2 linked regions of the Oryctolagus cuniculus genome follow. The protein of the gene in region 1 binds, or shares a complex with, the protein of each later gene. Links are inferred from orthologs where the notes say so. Each region holds a gene or a part of one and is shown in the gene's direction. Other genes may lie near its edges.

The links. Proteins that work in one complex are often made in the same cells at the same time.
Region 2: the proteins of SIRT5 (region 1) and PRDX1 are in contact, whole or in part, in a crystal structure (PDB 8Z54), measured with the Homo sapiens proteins. The link is inferred for Oryctolagus cuniculus from reciprocal best matches to the Homo sapiens genes SIRT5 and PRDX1. Residues at the interface, in NP_001363727.1 of Homo sapiens: Ala86, Tyr102, Arg105, Gln140, Ile142, His158, Val220, Val221, Trp222, Phe223, Gly224, Glu225, Asn226, Leu227, Leu232, Val253, Val254, Tyr255, Pro256; in NP_001189360.1 of Homo sapiens: Phe195, Ser196, Lys197, Gln198.

Annotation. Positions count from the first base shown.
Region 1 is NC_091436.1:157,046,392-157,050,037, reverse strand, and holds part of SIRT5 (NAD-dependent protein deacylase sirtuin-5, mitochondrial), read left to right. Parts: intron 1-2,919; coding exon 2,920-3,145; intron 3,146-3,646. UniProt on the Homo sapiens protein: NAD-dependent lysine demalonylase, desuccinylase and deglutarylase that specifically removes malonyl, succinyl and glutaryl groups on target proteins.
Region 2 is NC_091438.1:127,368,871-127,372,616, forward strand, and holds the start of PRDX1 (peroxiredoxin-1), read left to right. Parts: upstream 1-1,203; 5' UTR 1,204-1,694; intron 1,695-3,188; 5' UTR 3,189-3,192; coding exon 3,193-3,298; intron 3,299-3,746. UniProt on the Homo sapiens protein: Thiol-specific peroxidase that catalyzes the reduction of hydrogen peroxide and organic hydroperoxides to water and alcohols, respectively.

The DNA of each region.
Region 1 (3,646 bases):
GACCTTTCTCTCTGTCTCTCTCTCTCTCACTGTCCACTCTGCCTGTCAAAAAAAAAAAAAAAAAAAAAAGTCCAGTCTTGATTGAGACATAACACACACATAGTAAAATTCACCAGTTTTCCAACATACGGTTTAGTGAGTTTTAACAAATGGATGACCTGGAACATGTCTGTCCTTCTAGATTCCAGAGTATTCCATCACGGCCCTCTGCAGTGTGTCCTCTCTCATCCCCCTGGATTGGGCAGTGCCCAGCTTTGGAGGGCCGGGAGTGTCGTCCTGTGCATTGCCCTGTCCCCAGCGTCCAGAACTTCAGCCCAGGGGAGGAGCTCGGTAGACATTTGTTGGCTGAGCGGAGACAGTCATGAGTAATTAGCCCAAGGCGTGACCTCCAGATTGAGCAGGTGATGTCTTGGACGCGCCCCTCCCTTCCTGTGCCAGGTGTCCCAGGCTGGCAGGTGTCTGGGATGTTCGGTCCCCTCCCTGCTGCCGTCCAGGTGAGGCCTGCAAAGCGTCGCCTGGTGATGTGGAGATCTCTCAAAGGTGAAGCAGCGGAGAAAGAAGAAAAGCAGTCCAAAGGGCCCCGAGGAACGGGGATGGGGAGAAGCAGCGGTGGGGGGAGGGGCGATCAGAGGCCAGCAGGGAGAAGCTGGGAGGGCTGCAGGATGCTGTGGTGTCAGAGGTGGCCCACGGCTGTGTGTGAGCCAGGGAGTCAGTAGGACAGGTTTGCCACCACATACACCTTCACGTGCCGCCCGTCAACTGCTCCAGGCCACTTGGGTCCCAGTGACAAGCAGGGCGGGAGGGGAGCACAGGGCTGAGGCAGTCACCCACAGCAGCGACACTGCCATCCCAAAGGAAGGGCCTGACTGAGGTCGCCACCGTGGAGGGGCCATGACGGTCAGGTCACGCCAGCTCCGTGTGGCCACTGGTCCTTCCTTACATTCCCACGGTGAGCTGGGATTGGCTTAGAATGAAAGGCACACATGCACCGTGGGTGTGCAGGGTGATGAGTCTGACGGTGTGTGCACCTGAGGGTCACCACTGGATAGCCTCTTGTTCCCACGCCCTCTGCCTCCAGCCTGGACAAGCGTGGCTGCACTCTTGCAGTGGAGCAGGGGCTGGTGTCTGCTGCAGGGAGACGCGCGCTCTAGTATAGTCTGTATACTTCTGTTACTGCAGTGCATATACCTTTTTTCATACGTGCGTTGTGTGTCTACAAGGGACTTCCAAAGGGCCATGTGAAAAAACTTATGCCCATGCATAGTTTTTCTGAATTTTGTGCACCCCAATAAGCTTATCTTTAAAAAATGTTGAGTTTATTGGTTTTATTTATTTGGAAGGGAAAGAGACAGAGCTCTTGCATCTGCTGGCTCACTCCTCAGATGCCCGCAACAGTTGGGGCTGGGCCGGGGGAAGCCAGGAACCAGGGACTCGGAGTCTCCCCTATGCGTGGCAGGGACCCAGCCACCTGAGCCGTCACTGCTGCGTCCCAGGCTGTGTGTGAGCAGGAAGCTGAATTGAGAGTGGACAGGGACTGGGACCCAGGTGCTCCAGTGCAGGATGCGGGCATCGCAACCACTGCATGAATCGCCCGCCCAGTCAACTTACCTTTTTGTTCCAATTTCCACAGACTTGAGGTGCCTGTTTGTATGGATAGTTGTGTATATGTATACCCTGTGTATATGGTTGTGTGAACGATTATATGTAGTTTTGTGTGTGTGGTTATGTGATATGGTCATATGTAGGCATGTCTATGTCGTGTGTGCAATTGTGTATGTGGTTGTGTGCATAGTTGTATGTCTGATTTTGTGTGTATAGTTGTATTTATGTGGTTGTGGGTAGTTGTGCACGTCATGTGTATAAATGTGTATGTATGTGGTCGTATGTGTATAGTTGTATATGTGGTGTGAGTATATGTGGTTGTATGTAGTGTGCAGTTGTGTTGTGGTTTTGTGTGTATGTTGTATATGTAGTTGTGTGTGTATATTATAGGTATGTAATATGTGTGTAGTTGTGCAGATGTGGTTGTATAGTTGTGTCTGTGTAGTTGTATGTATGTTACGTGTATGTGGATGTGTGTAGTTATGTGTGTGTATGTGTGTTTCACTCTCGTTACCATTATAAAAGCTGACTTTCTCAATTACAGCCATTATACCACAATTGGGCATTTTGTAGTTCATATTTTTCCTGGGTGTATCTCAAAATTAGATTTACTTTGTATATGGTGGGGCTCAGGGAAAAAATGGATTTATATATGCTGGCTTTCAACGAAAAAATACCTACCTGCATCAGACTTCACTTCCTTGCATAACTTACCTGTGTAAGTGGGACAGGTGCATTATTCCTGCCCATCACCGGGGCAATCAAGCCCAGTCTCTCCAGGGTGCTGGGTCAGCCCAACAGCTAGGGGACCCAGGCCCCTGCCTGGCATCCGCCACCCAGTCCTCCTCTCAGGCAGACACGGCCCAGCCTGTGCCCCTATGGCCACCAGCCTCGGCTCAGAAGGGCCTGGGCTGGCCAGCACCATGGCTCACTAGGCTAATCCTCTGCCTGCGGCGCTGGCACCCCGGATTCTAGTCCCAGTTGGGGTGCTGGATTCTGTCCCGGTTGCCCCTCTTCCAGGCCAGCTCTCTGCTGGGGCCCGGGAGTGCAGTGGAGGATGGCCCAGGTGCTTGGGCCCTGTACCCCATGGGAGACCAGGAAGAAGCTCTGGCTCCTGGCTTCAGATGGGCGCAGCACGCCGGCCATAGCGGCCATTTGGGGGGTGAACCAACAGAAGGAAGGCCTTTCTCTCTGTCTCTCTCTGTCTCTCTTTCTCTCTCTTACTCACTGTCTAACTCTGCCTGTCCAAAAAAAAAGAAGGGCCTGGGTGCCGCCCCCTCCCTCCTCAGTCCCTGACCCTGCCCCTCTCCCACCCAGGACCTGGCCACCCCTGAGGCCTTTGCCCGCAACCCCTCCCGGGTGTGGGAGTTCTACCACTACCGGCGGGAGGTGATGCAGAGCAAGGAGCCCAACCCTGGGCACCTGGCCATCGCCGAGTGTGAGGCCCGGCTGCACGGCCAGGGCCGCCGCGTCATGGTCATCACCCAGAACATCGACGAGCTGCACCGCAAGGCTGGCACCAAGAACCTTCTGGAAATCCACGGTGAGGGACCCCCAGCCTCATGGGGGGAGGGGAACAGACTTTAAAACTGCTCTTCCAACACAGTCGCTGGCTCCTGCCCCCTCGCCTCCCTGCCGCACACCTGACTCACCCGCACGGGATGCTGCACTTAGCAGCCGCCTCTGGTGACCTGGGAGACCCGCCCTTGCCCCGGCTTTCCTGCCCCTGCTGCTCAGACCATGGTCTACAGGCCAGCAGTGTGCGTTCAGCCGCTGAAGCAGGACCTCCGTTTGCCCAGAGGAGCACTGTGTGACCCTGTCCTTGGCTTCTGGGGGAGAGTTGTGGGGCTGGGCCAACGGGGCACGGGATCCACAGCAAACGTGAGGCCAGGCCCACAGGCAGCAGTGGCTTCAGCAGGATTGGGGCACAGAAGACCCCAGCACCTGTGGTGTGGACCTGCCTGCCCTTCGCCCCAGCACAGGCGTCTCTGGTCAGGTGTGCTTCCGCTCCGCCCTGGAGCTGGAGCGAGCCCAGCAGGTTTGC
Region 2 (3,746 bases), on another chromosome or scaffold:
AGCAGTATTCTGAATTTTTAAGCATGTGCAACAAAAATTCAGCAATTCAGCACCTTTTTGGCTACTGATCCTGTGTCAAACCCCACTGTTTGGCCTGGGCACTCCTACCCATTCCACCATTGTAAGTACACAATGGCACACCCTACTTTTTAATGTGGTATTGTTTAGATACCTGCTGACTTTTCAGATATGCACATAGCCTTGATGACCTGGGTAGTTTTGTTAGCAGAGATAGCTGCTCAGGGGTTCTTGTCTTTATGCAAGACAAGAGTTTCAGACTTGAGATAGTAGCAGTAAGCAAGGTAGCAAGGTTGAATGAGGTAGGGCATCCGTCAGAGCGGTGGGCACCTCTCCAGTGGATCTGAGTGTGCCGTCACTGACTGGGGCGAGCCAGGTAACAAGGCAAATGAAGAGAAAACCTGACAGACCAGGCGGGCATCTCAGCAAAGAACTGAGAGCTGAGTGTCCTGCGCATTTAGACGTGGGCGTGTAAGGGTCTGGGGTCTGGGTCCCCCCCCCCCTTCCCCTGGACAGAGGGTTTGCTGGGTGTGAAGTAGGTAAAATTTCTCTCTAGGTCTTATTACCCAATGATGTTAGCAGACTGAATTCTCCTGGGTGTGCTTTCCTTGGGGAGAAGGCTGGGACCACCTATAAAGTAATGGGGTGCGGGAAGGACTTTGTAGTGGAAAACTATGGGCTACTTCCAGGCTGACGGGGCTGCTACATTCCTTTCCACATTCCTCCTGCAGGTGCTTTGTTTTCCTTAGGCCCCTTCCGCACCCAGAGGCTAATTTCTGTCTTCCGAGCAGTTTTACAGATGTTCTTAAAATGAACAAAGACAGTTCAAACCTCTTGATTTGCATGAGTTTGCGAGGTTTTCCTGGTCTAAAGAATAGCAACCATTTTCCCAAAACACCCGAGGCTGCTTATAGGGAGAGCTCAATTAAGTGTTAATGTTCCCATTTTACAGGTGAAGAAAATTAAGGCTCAACAGCGTTGACACCGCCTAAGGTTACATATAAAACGATAGCGAGGCATTTTACCCCAAGACATTGTCTACAGAGCTCCAGCTTTTAATCTACAAATTTGAGGAATCACATCATCTGCTTTCAGAAATATTCCCTTCAGCAGCTGTGGGAGGGACCACCGGAACAAGGAACCCTTAAGAGAACAATTTAAGGGTCTAAGGGCCGAGGGCAAAGGCTGTGGGGACCTAGGCAGACTTGAGAACTGCTTGGAAAGACAGCTCTTAGGGCTGGCTGTAGTTAGACGGGTCCTCCGCGCGCAGCAGCGAGGGTCCTCAACCCGGTTTGGAACTTGAGGGTACAGAGCACAGGGGTCCTGGAAGTGGGGCATCTCGGTCTCTTTCATAAAGGAAGCGTTGAGTTTGGGGACGGTCAAGAGGAACCCTCGCTCTCCGACCGCAGCCACGGAGGCAGGGCGGTGGGCTCCACCTTTTGAGCCTTTGCCCACCGCAACTCGGGAAAACGCTGAGTCATTCCCGCGGAGCGCGATGGGCGGGGCGGGCTCGGCCCGGATCCCCCTCCTCTCCGCTCCTCCCACACCCCCCGGCCCGCTCCGACTCTCGCGAGAACGCTACAAGTTATAAAAGCAGCGCCCCGCGCGGACTGCGGGCTTCGTCTTCCTGGCTCTCGACGATTCTCTGTGTCTCTCAGACTTCTGTGTTGGAACTGGTGAGTGCGTGGGCCTCGCGGTCTGGAGGAGCTAGGTGCAGCGCCCCGTAACACACCTGCTGGACTTTACCAACTCTTGGGCCCTGCCCGTGCTCGCGTGGGGGTGCTGTGAGGCTCCCGGGCCGTGCGCCCGCCCACGTGAGGCCCTCGTGGGCGCGGGACGTGGCTGAGCCCCGGGTTAGCGTAGATACCCTGCACCTCCTCCCACACCCCAGGCGGAGGGCGTTCGTGGGGGTGGGGGGTCTCCGACAGCTGTCCTTCAGGCGGGGCGGTTCGGGAAGCTTCGGTCAAGTACGTGCATCCTGACCTGTGGCTGTAGGAGACAGCGTGTGCCTAGGCCACTGTGCGATGGGGTGAGGGCTGTGCCCGGCCCTGCTAGGAAGGTCTCCTCTCCGGCATTTTCTCGTTTGCGGAATGGAGTTCGTGCTGATTCCGGTGCCCTCGCTGAAGACTGCGCACTCTGTCCGCGGGGATGGGGCGGAGCTGATGGCGGGAGTGGCCGCCGAGCACCTGAAGTGGCAGTGCTGAGCCTGGGCGTCGCCGCGATCTCGGGCACATCAGATCCTTTAAGTCCAGCAGCCTGTTGTGCAGGTTACTTGGGCTTTGAACGTGGGGGGCGTCCGAAAAAGCAGGTTTGGGCAAGAAGGCCCATTTTAGGATCACACCCTATAGTTGATCACCAAGTTTCAGCATGCTATTTTTTTTCTGGTGAAAGATGTTAAAAGATATCTTTAAAAAAAAAAAAAAGCGTACAGTGTTTTCCAGGTGCAATACTTAACGTTTCCTTTGGTTTTGGTAACAAACTCCAGAAACTGTGGGACTTGGAAAATTAGCTGCTTGAGTTTTCAGGCGGATGACTTAGTTAAATCTCAACTCCTTGTCTTGGTGTGAATCCAGGGCAGTGTTTGTTGCTTTTTAGCAGTAAATTGCCTCTTGTTCTTGCTTTTACCCCCAGGATCTTGGCTGGGAAGTGAGAAACTTATTTTGAAAGGACTTGTAGGGCAACACCTAAAGTTGGGTTGGCTTTTCATTTGTGTGCTGTCTTGGACAGACTTAACCTGGAAAAAGGTCAGTGTGCTTCCCACATTGTAAAGGCAGCTGGAGGCACAAAGCCGACTGTTTTTGGGAGACAGGCGTTCAGTCCTTGTGCCACTTTACATTTGGGTTCTAGTTTGAAACTCCATCTCCCTCCCTCTCTGTAAAGTGAATATACAGAGCAAAATGCACTTGCACAAATAGTTCTGAAACAGAGTTGACCTTGGTGTGGTAAAATAACTGCCATGCTGTTTTCAGATTAAACAAAGGTTCAGATTGACACTTGTTTTTTGTTCTAAAAGTTGGAAATTTCAGTTTTTCACCCTTGATTGCTGGCCTGTGCATCTTAGTAGTGTAAAATTTACTCAGGGCTATTGGACAGTTCCTTGATTGATGTACAACTAAGTCTCTTAAGTAGGTGAAGGCTTGCTTATAACTTTCTGTTATTCAAATTGATAGCAAAATGTCTTCAGGAAATGCTAAAATTGGGCACCCAGCCCCCAACTTCAAAGCCACAGCTGTTATGCCAGATGGTCAGTTCAAAGACATCAGCCTATCTGACTACAAAGGTAAGAGTAATGAGTAATTACATTGGGTTTAATAAAATGCAATTATCTTATAATGCAGGGATGGCTTGTTAGATTTGTGCCTCTGTTAAGTTTGACCTTAGGATGTTTTACATAACCTCGGACAAGGTCTATTTTTTTTTTTAAAGATTTTATTTATTTGAGAGGTAGAGTTACAGACAGAAAAAGACACAGAGAGAGGTCTTCCTTCCATTGGTTCACTCCCCAAATGGCTGCAACGGTCAGAGCTGCCCCGATCCAAAGCCAGGAGCTCCTTCCCAGTCTCCAACACGGGTGCAGGGGCCTAAGCAGTTGGTCCACCTTCCACTGCTTTCGGACAAGGTTTTTTGGAAGCTGTTGCCATCATGTTGCAGTAAAGTGATTATCAGTGATCACAGGGTAGCTATCCTAGGTTCAGACTACTTACGCAGAAAGCACATGCTTTATTAAT